2 linked regions of the Lepisosteus oculatus genome follow. The protein of the gene in region 1 purifies or fractionates together with the protein of each later gene. This does not show direct contact. Links are inferred from orthologs where the notes say so. Each region holds a gene or a part of one and is shown on either strand. Other genes may lie near its edges.

Evidence for each region.
Region 2: the proteins of eps15l1a (region 1) and itsn2b purify together in Homo sapiens (affinity purification with mass spectrometry; 5 studies listed by BioGRID and IntAct, with this or other methods). This does not show direct contact. The link is inferred for Lepisosteus oculatus from reciprocal best matches to the Homo sapiens genes EPS15L1 and ITSN2.

Annotation. Positions count from the first base shown.
Region 1 is NC_090724.1:5,378,945-5,386,165, reverse strand, and holds the start of eps15l1a (epidermal growth factor receptor substrate 15-like 1), read right to left. Parts: upstream 3,041-7,221; 5' UTR 2,986-3,040; coding exon 2,959-2,985; intron 1-2,958.
Region 2 is NC_090697.1:20,601,319-20,609,198, forward strand, and holds the start of itsn2b (intersectin-2), read right to left. Parts: upstream 3,089-7,880; 5' UTR 2,889-3,088; intron 1-2,888. Other genes in the region: intron Large complex component GCFC2, read left to right, coding at 5,415-5,736, 6,180-6,278, 7,865-7,880.

The sequences.
Region 1 (7,221 bases):
AAGAATTTTAAGGATACTGGTAAAGTGGCCTCCCTCTAAGGAAGAAGACAACTTGGCCTGTGAGACAAGTGGTTTTGGGAGGCAACCGTAAATCTAAAAGCTAGAGATAAAGATCTCCAACGTTGGAGCCTTCAAGGACATTAAGTGTCAAAAACTAGCATTCAAAATTGCCTGAATATGGGATTCATAACCAGGCTGCAAGGAAGAAACCTCTACTAAAGCAGAGTGATAAGAAGAGCCATCTGAAGTTTGCCACACATCACTGGAATGGAACCACGTATTTTCATCAGATGAAATTAAAACTGAGTTATTGAGACACGCTCATCAGCATTATGTTTGGTATATAAAAAGATGAAGCTCATGTTGAGAAAGCACTCATGCTCACTGCCCATTGTGAAATACTGTGGAGGGGATGTTTTGCATCTACTGGTCTTGGAGCCCTTGTCGAGATTGTACATTTCCCTAACTCTGACAATTACCAGGTCATTGTGACCAGACACCTGGTTCTTATTGACAAGAAGCTACAGCTTGGCTGAAAACAGACATTCCAACACGACGATGATCCAAATCACCTGTCCAAATCAACAAAGGCATGGTTGACTGTACAGAAAACAAATGTTCTTGACTTGGTGATCTCACTCTCCAAACCTTAATCCTACTGAACATTCGTGATTCTAACTCAAGGTGACAGTTCACTAACAGAAACCAGAAGGGGAGAATTTCCCCTAATCCCTGCCAGAGGAGGATCTGCAAAATACTAACAGTAGAAGTGTGAATAAACACAACCCTCTTGTTTTCTGGATTTACATTGATTGTAACCCACAGGATTTTGGTCTGTGCAATGGTATTCAGATTCACTACAAAAAGTTAAACTTGTTGTAATAAAAAAATTGCCAAATTGTAAAACTTTCCATTATGTGATGATTATTATTCCAATTTCATTAGGGGCACAATAAAATTCATAGGGCAGTGTATGTGATGAAACCAACTTTAAAATTATTTATCAAAAATATAATGCATAATTTATTGATGAAAAATGCTAAAATACTGTTTAGTAATTTAAATAGCCATGAATTCGAGAAGAAAACATGACGACTCTAATCATTATAGATAATAAAAATATGCAGACATAAAACATTTCTTACAAACCATCAAATGTGTCTATTCTGCATCTGTATGCTTATGCTGTTCAGGGAGTCAGTGTTTTATTAACATCATTCGTGAGTGAAGCACAGATGATGCACAGGCTGTAATCGTGGTGCTGAATGACTTCAATGAGGCATTCTCAGAGTACAGTAGCCCCTCTGGGAAATAACCACACTACCCAAAGGGTGAGGCACATCTGAAAGAGCAGTCTTATGCTGTTGCTAGCTCTCCTCGAACTGCTTAGTCAATTATCCAGATTGAACCATCTGACAGGAGTTAAAATGGTCAGAGGCCATTAAGCATTTTAATTGACAAAAAGCTGCTCTTGAGCATGTCTGCGCTACATTTCAGCTCACAAAAACCCTTTTCCTTGTTTTTCAGCACTGTACAACACCACTTCTTAACGATGCCCTGTAACGAACATGAGACACATTACACCTGCAGATCTAATCAGAGTGCAGACACCAACAAGCCTTTGTAAATCAGACTAAAGCCCCATCTGCAAGCAGTAGCCAGACAGATCTCCTGCTTCACTGTGGCTTAAATCACGGGCCCACAGGAGGAAGTCCAAAAAGCTTCGGAGGAGATGGAGAAAGCATTCGTCCCCAGACCAGAGACACCTTTGCCCAGTTGTGACACAGGCTCACCTGGAAGATCCGGCTGAGTAGTCTCGGATGCTACAGTCCCTGAACAAGCAGAACCCCCGCGGACTGGAAAACTAAGCTGTTGCACCGACACAACCGGAATCCGAAAGCAGCTGTGCTCGCTCAGAAAACGAAAAGGAACTTCACATAACATGCATTTCATTCAAAGCAATTCACCTGTTGAAAGGTAACAGCGTTGACAAGCAGTCGGGCGTATATGCCTGCATTCCTGTAGCCATTACCTAATGCCGGCTTCAGACTGCTGAAGTAAACCATTCAAACAGACCGAGTGCTCAACTGCACGAACTCGACACCGACTGCTTCCAACTCGGGTCACATACGACACTGTCAAGAATGACGGCGTTTTATGCCGTTTTTATCTCCTGGGGGGTTTTCTTATCTAGAGGCTATGCGCAAAAGAAAAAGCGACTTAAGCCTTAAAGATTAACACGAATAAGGGCATGGTATTAAAAAACTAATCAGAAACAGGTGCAGCCTGAAGTATTTGCCAACCTTACGCCTACATGAGAGCTGCTAACCGAACCGGTCTTTAAAATATGCCGATTACGTACGGCATGTCAGAATTATTCAAGCGTACACTACCCAAACCCTTCCACATCGGTAGTGCTTACAGGGCAGGCTGTACCGGGAAACCGAGCACGTTAAACCAAAGCAGAAGTCAAAAGATGCCGTCTCATGTTTTCATAGCATCGCAAGACAGCTGCTGTTACCCGTCGCACGGAAGCTCTTTCCGTGAGAAGTGGAGAAAACTCACAATTGTCCGCGTTACCGTGTTTTCTGGTCAGGCTTTTGAGCCGTAGACAAGTCAGCTTGTTCGTCAGGCAAAACGCCAGCACTGTTTTGGGCGCTTTGAGACACAGAAAAACCTCCGTGTTCTGTCGTTCCTTGTAAACGTAAGCAGTTCATCCTGCATACTCGCTGACTTCATTCCGCCTTTCAACATTTTACGGTTTAATATCCCAGTAGGCCTTATACCTTCCCACTACTGTAACCTTTAAAATGCATTGTTAATTGCCTGGCGTTTAATGTTCCACAGTTGACACGGTTAGATTTTCAATCGAGAAAAGCATATCTGTAACTGCCCGCGTCTGTCCCGTCGATTATTATCCGTCTGTTTACAAATAATACATTGAGCCAGAATCAGTACCTGAGTGAGAGACGTGAGCGCCGCCATCTTCCCTGTTGCTGCGGGAGCGCGCACACCCTTTCGTCGGAAACGCGCCTCCGAGGGAACAAGAACTCGCAGGATGCGCGGGGCGTGAAATCGCACTTCACACGTGGAAAACGCGCCGGGCAGGTTTCTGGATGTTCACTCACAGCCGCTGAACTAAAACACAATACGGTACAGTCACTTATTGTCTGCCGTGCAAAGTAATACCGATATATCCGACTGTTGCACGAAGCGCCTGCCTCTTACACTGGGCATTAACATTGGGTTTCATTCTAATACGGTTCAGAATAAACATAAATAATTACGTGTAAATCTCTATATTAAATGAATAAAATGATGACAATAATCCATGCAAAACGGAGGGGTGTGCAGTAATTTATTTCTGAAGCAATTACACGTACAAGCACCCGAACCGACCTCTTAGCTTGAGCTTAAATCGGTCATTTCTGGTTTCAGAATTTTTTTCTCGGATAGTGGAAAAACCGCAAGGCTGTAAAGTGCCTTTAAAGCTCCTGCTCAGCGATCTGTGGCCAAATACCGGCATAACCGCGAGTGAATCAGCTAAGCGACTGCAGTGTTTCGAGAACCCGTTTTCGCCTAAAAGCCCTCGGCAGACAGAATATGTTTTATTTATGTTAATATTCTGGGAATTGCCTTCCGCCTTGGTTTTCCAGAAAGAACGTTAAAAACCCCATATTTGTCTGACCCAGAACACATTTACACATGCGCAATAAGAACAGTTACTTGTTCGTCAAAAAGAGCGCTGGACAATGGATTGCTGACCCTATTTTCTCTATAAATGTCATTTTTACTGTGCGATCACTGAAATATGCACTACAAAAATACGTTTTTTGTAGAAACCTGGAACTGCACATATTCTGTAATGAAATCTCCGGACACAGAATGTCGAGTACAGTGGACACCGCTATATCGGTAGTTGTCCGGGACTTTTATCAATAATAATAAAAAAACAAAACTGTTAAAAAGCCCATTGGTCCTCGTCTACGTAGGACTCCCAGCATTCCTTATAAGGGCTTTCAGGAACAATGTGCAGTTTGAATTGGAATCTCAGTGTTTTCCAAAAACGGAAAATAAGTTCTGAACGCACCTCGCAATAATGAATCAAAGTTAAATTAACAAGTCAGGGATTCATAACACCGTGCTGTCGGTACATCACTGATTGGTCAGATCAAAACTGCTGCAGGGTTTGTTTTTTTGCTGATTCATACCGGATTTTCAGAGGCGAGACGATGGTGACCCCCACAGTGTACGGCTGCGCTTTCACCTACAATGTAAAGCCTCTTTAATGCACCTCTGGGTGCGTTTCGGAGATGCACAGAAACAGTGCAGGCGACAAGTCACAGTCCCCTCGCCTGTGAATGTTGTCGTTCATGTACATCAGGTTTGGCTTGAGAAACAAGGACTTCAAGATGTTCGAGGTGCTGCCTTCCACACACTCCGGATTGCGAAGCGATGTGTTACAGGAAGAAAATAATAAGAATTAATTATAATTCCGTACACGTATATAGCGCTTTTTCTGGACGCTTCACTCAAAGCGCTTTACAGGCAATGCCATAGCAGCCCACTGAAGCTCAGCAGCTGTGAGCCTGGTCAGTACCTGGATGGGAGACCTCCTGGGAAAAACTAAGGTTGCTGCTGGAAGAGGTGTTAGTGGGACCAGCAGGGGGCGCTCACCCTGCGCTCTGTGTGGGTCCTAATGCCCCAGTATAGTGACGGGGACACTATACTGTAAACAGGCGCTGTCCTTCAGAGGAGACGTTCTTCCTGACTCTCTGTGGTCATTAAACATTCCAGGGTGTTTCTCGAAAATAGGCCAAATTTCCCATCGATCCCTACACATCAGCTATCACCAGGGAGAAGAACAGAGTGATGAACCCAGATCAAAGATTTTGGAGAAACACCCTGGGGTGTTTAATGACCACAGAGAGTCAGGACCTCGGTTTTACGTCTCATCCAAAGGACAGTGCCGTTTTACAGTAGAGTGATAACAAAAGAATAATAAAAGAACATTTCATTCTCAAACTTGTGTTTTGTCTTTCCAGCCTTCCCAGGAGCCAATCAATCTGCCAGCTTATCTGTGGACAGCAGAAAATAGCAGCATCCACTGGAAACCTTCACAAACATAGGATAGCATGCAAACTCCACCAAGATAGCACCCAGATCTGTGGTCAGCAATGCTAGCCACTGCGCCACCTGTAATATAATCATCTTCGTTTTGTGCATAACCAACGCTGTGTACATGTTTTGAGAAAGGATATAAACTGTTATTTTACAATACAGGTCTGGAATACTTCAGACAAGAGGATGAGGACTGTTGAGCCACAGAACAACTCCTCTGATGAAGAGGACTTTTTCTGTTCTATGAAGGTTTCTTGCGCACAAGAAAGTATCTTTTATCATGAACTGTTAATGGATAAAAGTTGTGACTATAATTTAAATTCCTGATTTTTTACTTAAAGTTAACTATAGGTATGTGTAAGAAAGTAATGCTGCTGTTGTTAAATTGCACTGCTGTGAAATTCAGGGCAACAGCACATTTCCATGGTAAGACGTTTGCACTATAGTGGATCTCTAGAACAACTATAGTGTTCATCATACATATTTTTAAAGTAATAGTTATTTTACAACGCAACATCGAACACTTTTTACACCCGCGTGTATAAGGATACAGTCCATCACCACATACCATGTGTCCTACACCTGTAATTCATTGAAGACTAACCCTTTTCGTGTTGCAATTCAGGATCAAGAGCGCCCTCTTGTGGAGTATTGAAGTAAATGCTGTCGTCTTGTGCTCAGGGACTTCAGCTAATGTATGTACTGTATAAGTGCATTGCTCCAACGAATTGAAAATGAAGTCATTAAACACTGCACATTTAAATGATCATAGCTAAATTGTGCCACGATCTTTATCAATGTATTATTTAAAGGCTAACCATAAAACCTGCTGGACAAGCCCTCTTCATGACCAGAGTTGAAGTACCTGACTATACAGTAACAAGGAGAACATAAGGTTAGATATGCACCGTATAAGTATATTGATGGTGATGGACTGTATAAGATACAGTCCATCAGCACATACCACGCCTGAAGAAGGCTCCACGGCCGAAACATTGTGTTTTCTCTCTTCTTTTTTTTAGCATGGAATAAATCTATTACTATTACACAGAACACCTGTCAGATGCACGCTTAACCTCCTGTCCGTGAGGGAATGAGACCTGGTAATGTGAGGGGTTTTTGGGGCACATTTAGGGGTTAATGTACACCTTGAGGTTTCACCAGCAATCGTAGGGGAGATGTAGCCCCACCCAGTACTGTGCAATAAGGGGATGCATAAAGAACAGACAGAAAGACTCTGTTGTAAAGCTTTGTAAAAGCTATTTATTTTTTACATAATGCTGAAATCGATGAATCCCAGAACCATTCAGCAAACTGAGCCTTCAGGAAGTAATGCAGTTAAGGCTAAAACTTTTCTTCTTTTCCCCTCCCCAGAAAGGCAAAAAAAAACTGAAATAAAATCTGAAACTTCAAACAGAGAAATACCCAGGAAGTCAAAGAGAAAAATCACCACCACTGCGATACATAAATGAGTTCTACAGCATGCCGAAGGTCCAACAGGGCACTAGGTAACTTAAAAAAAACCACATGCACCTCTCCCATCTCTCAGGGCAACATTCTCGCAGTTAAAGTGCCGTCTCTTTAAACAGGAAGGTTCAGCGTTGATCACACATTATCATGACAGCAACACAAGAAAAGAAAAACTGAGTCATTCGGTACAGTCAAGGAGAAAGCTGCTCTTATTTTATTTCAATGCACTTTGTGCTTCGGCCAACAAGTTTTGCATCTCTGCATTTCTTTCCACTCTAAATTCTTCTAATTCGCTTTAATGAACGCTGCAGAAATAGCGAACCATACGCATACCTCTCATGCACTTCCATAGTGAAGTGCTTTTTTTTTTTTTTAGAAATTGGGAAGGAATTCGATGCTACAATTTCAATGTTAAATAAGTAGGTCTAGGGAATACAGGAATAATTGATGTAGATGTACTGCTTTCTCACTGTACATCATATAATGTTCATCATTGATGCTGAAATTAGAAAAAAAAACATCTTAACTATTTCTTGAAACCAGTAGCTAATAAAAACAAGAGGGAGACTATTTAGTGTCACACAATTGAAGCCTCCATTGCACACTGCTTATCAGGTGTAACACTAAAAT
Region 2 (7,880 bases), on another chromosome or scaffold:
TAGGACCAGTTCTTGTGATTATGATTATTTTTCTAGCATCATTGGACCAAAGACTTCAAAAACACAATCACAAATCAGAGCTACAGAAGTAGCTATTCAGAAAATGAAAGCAAAGCAACTCAAGAATTTTCAATATTAAATTACATTAAGATACACAAAAGAAATACTGTATGTAGTGCTGCTCACTTACAGCCATGTAAGTATGTAAAGCACCTTGGAGATAAAATTGTTTTTGCCATTTTTCTTTGCTTCTGGTGTTCTTTTTTACTGTATTCTGATTGATGCGACTGAGGTTTTCAAAATCATGTGAGGCACAGACAAAGACAACAAAACAGACTTCTTGAGAACCAACAGCAAAACAAGAACCAAAGGACAAGTGGAAACTAGATAGATAAGAATTCAAAACAAAGAACAAGAAGCATTTCTTACACAGCGGGTTGTGGTAGTCTGGAACAAGATACCTAGCCATGCTACTGAAGAGAGTAACTTAGCTTCTTTAAAGAAATGGATAGTAAAAATGCTTTGACCAATCAGCTACTAGGAAACAAACATGAGCAGGTTCTGTTGTCAGTTTCTGTAGTTTATTCTCAGCGCAGTAATGCCTCCTTGTTCACAAACAGAATGATTCATTTGCTTATCTCACCCTTTGGATTAAAATGAGGGAAGATTCGTCATCCACAGAACTGAAAGTCATGTGTGACAACATCAGGCTTGCAACAATATTCACATATACACGTAGCACCAGTGAAAGTCACCAGCCAGCATAAACTAAAATTCTCTGAGGTGCAGACAAAGTCAAACCAATATACCAGAGCCATCAGTGAAACATTGACTACATGATACAAGTGCAAACTAAGGAGACAGGCACTTACAAATGAAAATGTTAGGCACATATTACACAAAGGGTTGTGGGAATCTGGAAACCAGAGACCATGTTGTTGAACCCAATAGCTCAAAAAATGGCTAGATAAAATACCCGAGTTAGCTACTAGCAAACAAACTAGCTAGATGGGCCAAATGGCATCCTTAGATTTGTAATGTTGCTTATGCTCATATCATATAAATCCACCCCTTTACGCACTGCAATTCATCAGTCAAAATACACATCCTCCTTCACTCTCTGGCTGCCACAACTCCTACACAAAACAGACAAACTCTAACTGTTCTGTATTCATAAGGAAGATGGTTTAAAGAGACACCAAAAGGGATTACAGTGCAGAAAAAGGAAAAATATCATCCTAGATCTACAGCAAATTCCTTCTCATCTTGTGGCTTGAGGTTATGAAAGTATTAACAAAGTGGACTGTTATCCTGTAACAAAATAATTATTGAATTAAACTCCCCAATATGTTCAAATACTCGAAGATACAAAGAAATAAGAGATTGGTTATATTCACATACACATCCTGGTCTGACCACGTGTAACATCGGATATGACCGCTTTAACTGACAACTGACGAACAGGATGCAGGAACCTAACAAGACTCATAATTTAAGGCACTGTTTTATTCTGGCTTTCTAAAAAGGGGAACACAAGGAACTTAAAACATTGTGTGTTGCATGATAAATTACTGTAATAAGTTCAGAAGTTAAAAAAATTCAGCCATGACTGAATTTTTTTAGTCCCCAGCTGCCCAGCTGCCCAAGACAACACACCTGTCTTGTGAAGTGTTAAAATATTCGAACCAGTTTCAGCCTCTTTTGCATTAAACAACACAAAGCCAATAGCAGTTTCTAATAGCACTAGTAATAGTTTAGAAATAGTAATAGAGTCTTTTCCACCCACCCCTTATTGAAGAGGACTGTATGGTGCATCTAAATGTCATCCGTGCAGGGACACAACAAACTAGATTCATGAATATTCTATTTTTATCTCTGACCCGAGATTCTCTTAGTCAAATAAGGAAAAGGGGGAGGATGGGATCCATTAATGAAAAACCGAATGAGTCTTCATTTTGATTTTTTTTTTCTCGCACAGCTTGCCAGGAAGAATCAAAAGTTTCCTGTTAGAAAGCAAGTGATTTCAAAGTAACAAAACGTCCAGATAATCAAACTGCTTTTCACTGTTCACTGTAAAACGTTTTAAAAAAATGCAAGAACCTGGTCGATTTTGCCACTATATACAGTACATTCCTGCATTAATTGAACAAATGCCCTTCAAGTGACTCACTAGACTCAAATTACTTTATCATTGTTTAATTTCCTAGTATTCATCGTGTTACAATTGTGAGGGTTCTTGTACTGACGCTCTAAACACGAAAAAAATGCTTAAGAAAAGTGGTTCGAAACATGTAGACCACTTTTTCTTAACATTTTAAAATACATGAAAGACAATTCAATCTCCAAAAAGAAAAGAAAAACAACCCATACATCAGAAGTGCAATAAAACAGTGTGTAAATGTTTCTAAAAATTGAAAATCATTATTCAAATTATTTCTTAAAGTCATGAAATTCATTAAATTCCTTATATAAAGCAGAGAAACCAGTGCAATGAAGTTTCATTCCTTTGCCTACTGCTGCAAGACACTTGCTTTAAATTCGCAACAACCTGCCAAGCGAGTCGTGAAAAGGAAATTTTCAAATATGTATTTCTTTACTGCTGCAACCACAATAAATGATTCAGAACATAAACCCCAATATATCAAGTAATCCTGTTTCTTATAACACTAGATTAAAAAAATCCTATGTATTCGTGCTTGTTTACATCCTCGCTTTCAATGTAACCGACAAGTTTCAATTTTAAAGCTTTAATTACATTACTTACTGATAAAATTCCAGCACCAAACTATGTTTATGTATATATACATAGAATATGTTCCTTGGTAAAATAATTTATATACATATTGTATATGTATAATGAAGTATTCATAATTCTTAAATTTACTTACTTTTCGTGGAAGGACACCAAAAATATTTTGGATTTGGTTTAATCCCGACTCTGGAAAATCTCCATTATCAACAAATGTTCTCGGTCAAAATAAGTAATTAGACGTGAGACTCAATGTTTATTTCCAGAAAACGTGCTTCAGTCTTGTACCTGTTGCTTGCTAGAAGCAGCACTGTAGTATTACACCAACAACATGGCTGACAACACGGAGCCTGATTACTATTCAACCCCAGGATGGGAGGGGAAATCTCATTTTTGCAACCTTGCACATACTGCCCTCTCACTGTTCAGGTACGCATCACACCCAGCCTGTCTTAATAGCAAAAAAGCTATGCATTGTCAGCATACCTGCAGGACTACGCCTTAAAAGCTATCCGTGCAAAAAATAAAATTGGTTGAAACAACAGATACTCCTTTTTAGTTTTAAAATTATATTTATTCACATCTCAGATTTTTGATGATAAAATAAATTCATTCAAATGTGGCTGCATGATATACTGTAATGTACTGAAATTACTAAATCTGACTTTGCAAGGCATTGGAACTCAAGTTGGTGGAGATTATACACACACTAAAATGTACTGCTTTATGATAATATCTAGTAGAATAAGACAAAAAAGAGTGAATACAGTGCCTGGCAGTACAAAGGACGACAAAATTGAACCAAGTTAAAGAAGGTAAAAAGTATTTGCCTAAGCGCTTTGTTCTTGAATAAGCAACAACAGTAAAGCAGGCTGTATGATTTACTTTATGATGTACAAAAGGCTTTTGATAAAAGTTTCCCATAAAAATAAATTCTCAAATTAAAAGTTAGTTGCATTTGGGGAAACTTCAGTTTTGGGATTAAGAACTGGTTAATGGACTGAGAGTAGAGAGTATAGAAAGGGGAAGATTGTTCAAACTGTGGTGATGTAATTAATGGAGTGCCAATGTAATAGACTTTAGATCATTTACAAATGTACAAATTAGTGTGTACATCATACAATTTCAACCTAATATTTTTTTATCCACTATATATACAGTACTAGCATGGGGTGGGCTCTCCTGGTCCTGGAGACCTGGTGCGTCCGCAGGTTTTTTAAGGTCTCTTTAAAGCAGCAGCACCTGAAGAGCAGGGTTATGGTAATAAATCAATCTACTTGAACAACTAAACAGCTGGTTTACCATGTTAAAGGCTGGAATGAAAACAGAAAGAGACACCATTGTTCTTGGAACAGAATAGCTGTGCTACAATGAGCTGCCATTGCTCTGCTGTGAAGTGGGGTGACAGGTCAGAGCCTATGACTCCTGATATACAGAAGGCATACTGTGAACCCTTGAGCATTAACTGTACTATTTGTTGAGTCTTAAGGCATCCTTCTACAGCCCATTTTATTCGGGATATTGGATTAAAATGTCTATTGAAATCACCATAGGAAGAGAAGACAGCAAGGTCCAGCTTCTCTGAACTTTAATTATTCAGTGCTTTAAGCCTGTTTCTGATGCATATGTAAAATTCACTTTCCTTGAGCCAGGACAGGGACAAGGCATGTACAGGAAAAGTGGATGTCATGGGGATCTTGGTGATAACATTATGCCTGTTGAATAGGGACCAATGTCCCCACTTCATGAGGTTAGAAGTACAGCACCTAAGTGCCAAACCTAAAACCTTTGTCCTGGTTGCCCAAGAAAGACCAAGATGTCTGGGTCTGTTTTATTCCAAAGAAATTCAAGGACTCCAAGTCCTCATCATAATAGAATGAATATCACCCTTCTGCTACTCAGTTAGCACACTTGTCTGTCTCTGCCTTAGAGTCATTGAACGCTTGAAATCTACAATCAAGACGTTACAGAGGAGAACCTGCTACATGGACAACTCAGAGGTTTTCTTTTTGGCACTGACTCATAGGTTGACAGCTCTGTATCTCTTAACTTCTCTTAAATAAGTAGGAGGGAGAGAGAAAGTAAGTTGCCTCTCACAGCCTGAGGGAATATTTAAGGACTGTGATTTCTGGGCCCAACTGTGGCTATGCAATTCTATTTGGCTTTAACAAGCAAGAACTGGCTGCACCGTTGTCCTTTAATTATAGTTTGCTTTAGTTTTCAAAAAGGCTCTTCTATGAAAAGTTCTAATTCTTTAACATTTTTATTGAAGGTTTTCAAAATGCCAAGTTTACTTTAATTTCCACAGAGTTCTTGAAGGAAGAAATAGAGCGACGCATTGTTTATGGACTACATTACCCATGATGCAGCCGGAGAGCAGGGAACCGGAAAGTACAAACGTAAATGTTGTTGAAGCAAATCGGAAGAAGTGTTGTAAGTGTACTTTTTTCCCCCCATAAATGAAGATGGAGTAATTGGTTTATGCTAACTTGCTTAGCATTTAAAAATGTAAATGTGTTTCATTGTGCTTTAGTCTTTCATTTACTTCACTACCGAGATACACGTGGGATGCTGTAAGGCTTAGTACTTTTTTTAAAAAAAAAATACATAAGATAATCATTTGCGATCCGCACTGTTGAGATATTATTGCAGTTCCCACCTGAATATGTTCGGTAAGAAACCAAAGAGAAACTTCAGGAGGAGGAAAGGAGATTCGAGCGGAGAAGATGAGCCTTCACAAGAAGAGCAGGGAGAAGCCACTGACGAGGTGAAGGTCTCGGTTGCTCCCCGGTTACTGAAGTATCCGCAGAGCCGGGGGATTTCCTGCACGTCTAAGCGGGAGTCCGGGAGCTCCAGGCCGGATTCAGTCGCCGGACAAAATCCGCACACAGAAAATGTAAGCGAAGATACGGCTGCGGAAGACGCTGCTGAGAAGAAACTGACGAAAAATAAAATCACTCTATTGAGTTTCGGTGATGAAAAACAAGGTACGCCCCAGTATTTATATTTCTGCGTGAATCTGATGTGGTACATGCACGGAGACAGCCTGCAGTAGATTCTGCAGATGCAAATGACATGCATGGGATCTCTTCACAGAATTGATATTTTAGCGAGCTGTCGCTGTGTCGCGAGCATAACCCAGGTGAAGCAGAAACGAAGAATATCTGTTTAAGCCAAGACACAGTAGGGAGGGTCATCGCTGATCATGCCTAGAGCTCAGACCTGTGCTGGAGTCATTATTGAACCATGCAGCCAAAAAAGGGACTCAAATATAACGTATGTTCCATTCTGATCTATAATTGCATTATAGAAAATGTCATCAAAAGCCTGCTATTGACATTGTTTTGTTGTTTTTCGTTTCTGTTCTTTGCATTCAATTAATGTGCACGTTTTTTTTTTTTCCTAACCTGCTGGTGTATTTTCATTTCAGTGGACGAAGATGACTTCAAGGTTAAAAAGCCTGTTGCCAAGGCCGTCGTTTTCAAAGCGCGAACAAAAGAGATCAATCCTCCCGCTTTTAATTCACAAGGTAAATTGCCAACTGCGTTCTTATGGTTTCATAACAACGGATGTGTATGTTAGCTGTTCGACGTAACAGGGCTCGGTGGCACTGTGTATTTTCCTGAAATGATGTCATCGTTTCTTGAAACGTTCATCATTGTAGAAATCTGGGGTGATAGAAAACCTGGTCTTTGGATTCGAGCAAAGTTTGCTACTTTTTATGGGGTGGTACAGTTCAACTGTGGTAAAAAAGAAATAATTTGTTACATTTTATATAGCGCTTTTCCAGACACTTTACAGGTAATGATAACTCATCTCCACCACCGGCAATGTGCAGATTCACACTTCACATACCTTAACTGAGTTTGTGTGAAAGTGGTCTGAGGTTTGTTTTCTTGGTTAACATCCTTATTTTTAGGGGGAATTGGTTCGCTTGTGACTACACTGCAATAATAATGTGTAGTAATTTGTTCATTGTGTTAGATGCAAAATTATTTTTTTTTCCGTAGTCTTGAATGGAGAAGTCTAGAAGCCAACATGATTTGAGTAGTCTGGCCTTGGTTAATCCTGGAAATGGGAGACCTCCAAGAAAAACCTGTTTGCTGTTCAAAGAGGTGTTGCTGGACCAGAGTTAGTGCATTCTAACTGGAAATGAGTTTCATTGCGTTTTGTTTGGCATTCTGTTACAAACTACTCAGCCATGTTGTTGAAGCGGGTTTCTTCAACATGGCTTCTTTCAAGAAATGGCTGGATGAGATCCTCAGGTCACTTAGCTACTAGTCACCCAGTGGGCTATGTAGGCCAAACTGCCTCTTTTTCTGTTAATAACCTTTTTATGTTCAGTGGCCTTATTTTATGTCTTTGATTTTGAAATTCATCTGGCTCATCTTTTTTAAATAGACTCTGCACTGTTTGCAGCTTTTGCAACCCTTTGTCTTTCAACCCCTGAGAAACAAATAGTAAATATACCATAAATATAGTAGATATTTGTATGTGTAAAATAGTTTTGGCGTGGTCTTAATGAATTTTTCTGTTATTCTGTTGCAGTTTGATTTATTTCCCAATTGACATTTGGTTTTCATGCTGTTCTCCATATAAACTGCACTTTACCGAGTGCAAAAACAATCACTACTCAAAACAGGCCATAAGATGAGCTCAGCTGAATGCCATTTAAACAAACTCTGAATTGGACTGAATACTCTTGGAGCATTCAAAACTAAACAAACCTCACTCAGTTAGGGGGAAAAAAACATCTCAAGAGAAGCAAAGCTCTTCACTGAAAATTAAGTTTCACATTTTATTATTAACATTAGCGAAAGGCAAGATGGGGAAATAGGTGAAATTATGTTACAGTCATACTACTGAGCATGTTATACTGAGGCAAAATGAAATCACTATTGATTAATTGCTCTGTAGTTGATTGGTAAAGAACTGGCATCAAGAATGAGCAAAACAGAGAATTATATGGTCCCCTGCGCAAGTAATGTTTTTATTTCTAAGTAACTGACTTAACATTAGTTCTGTAAATGTTTTTTTTGGAATGGAATGGGGGTTAAGATTGCTTCTTCAAAATTAAAAGATGTGAGTTTGACAGTTCCTGCTTGTGTTTTATAGGCCCCAAGGGTCCTGT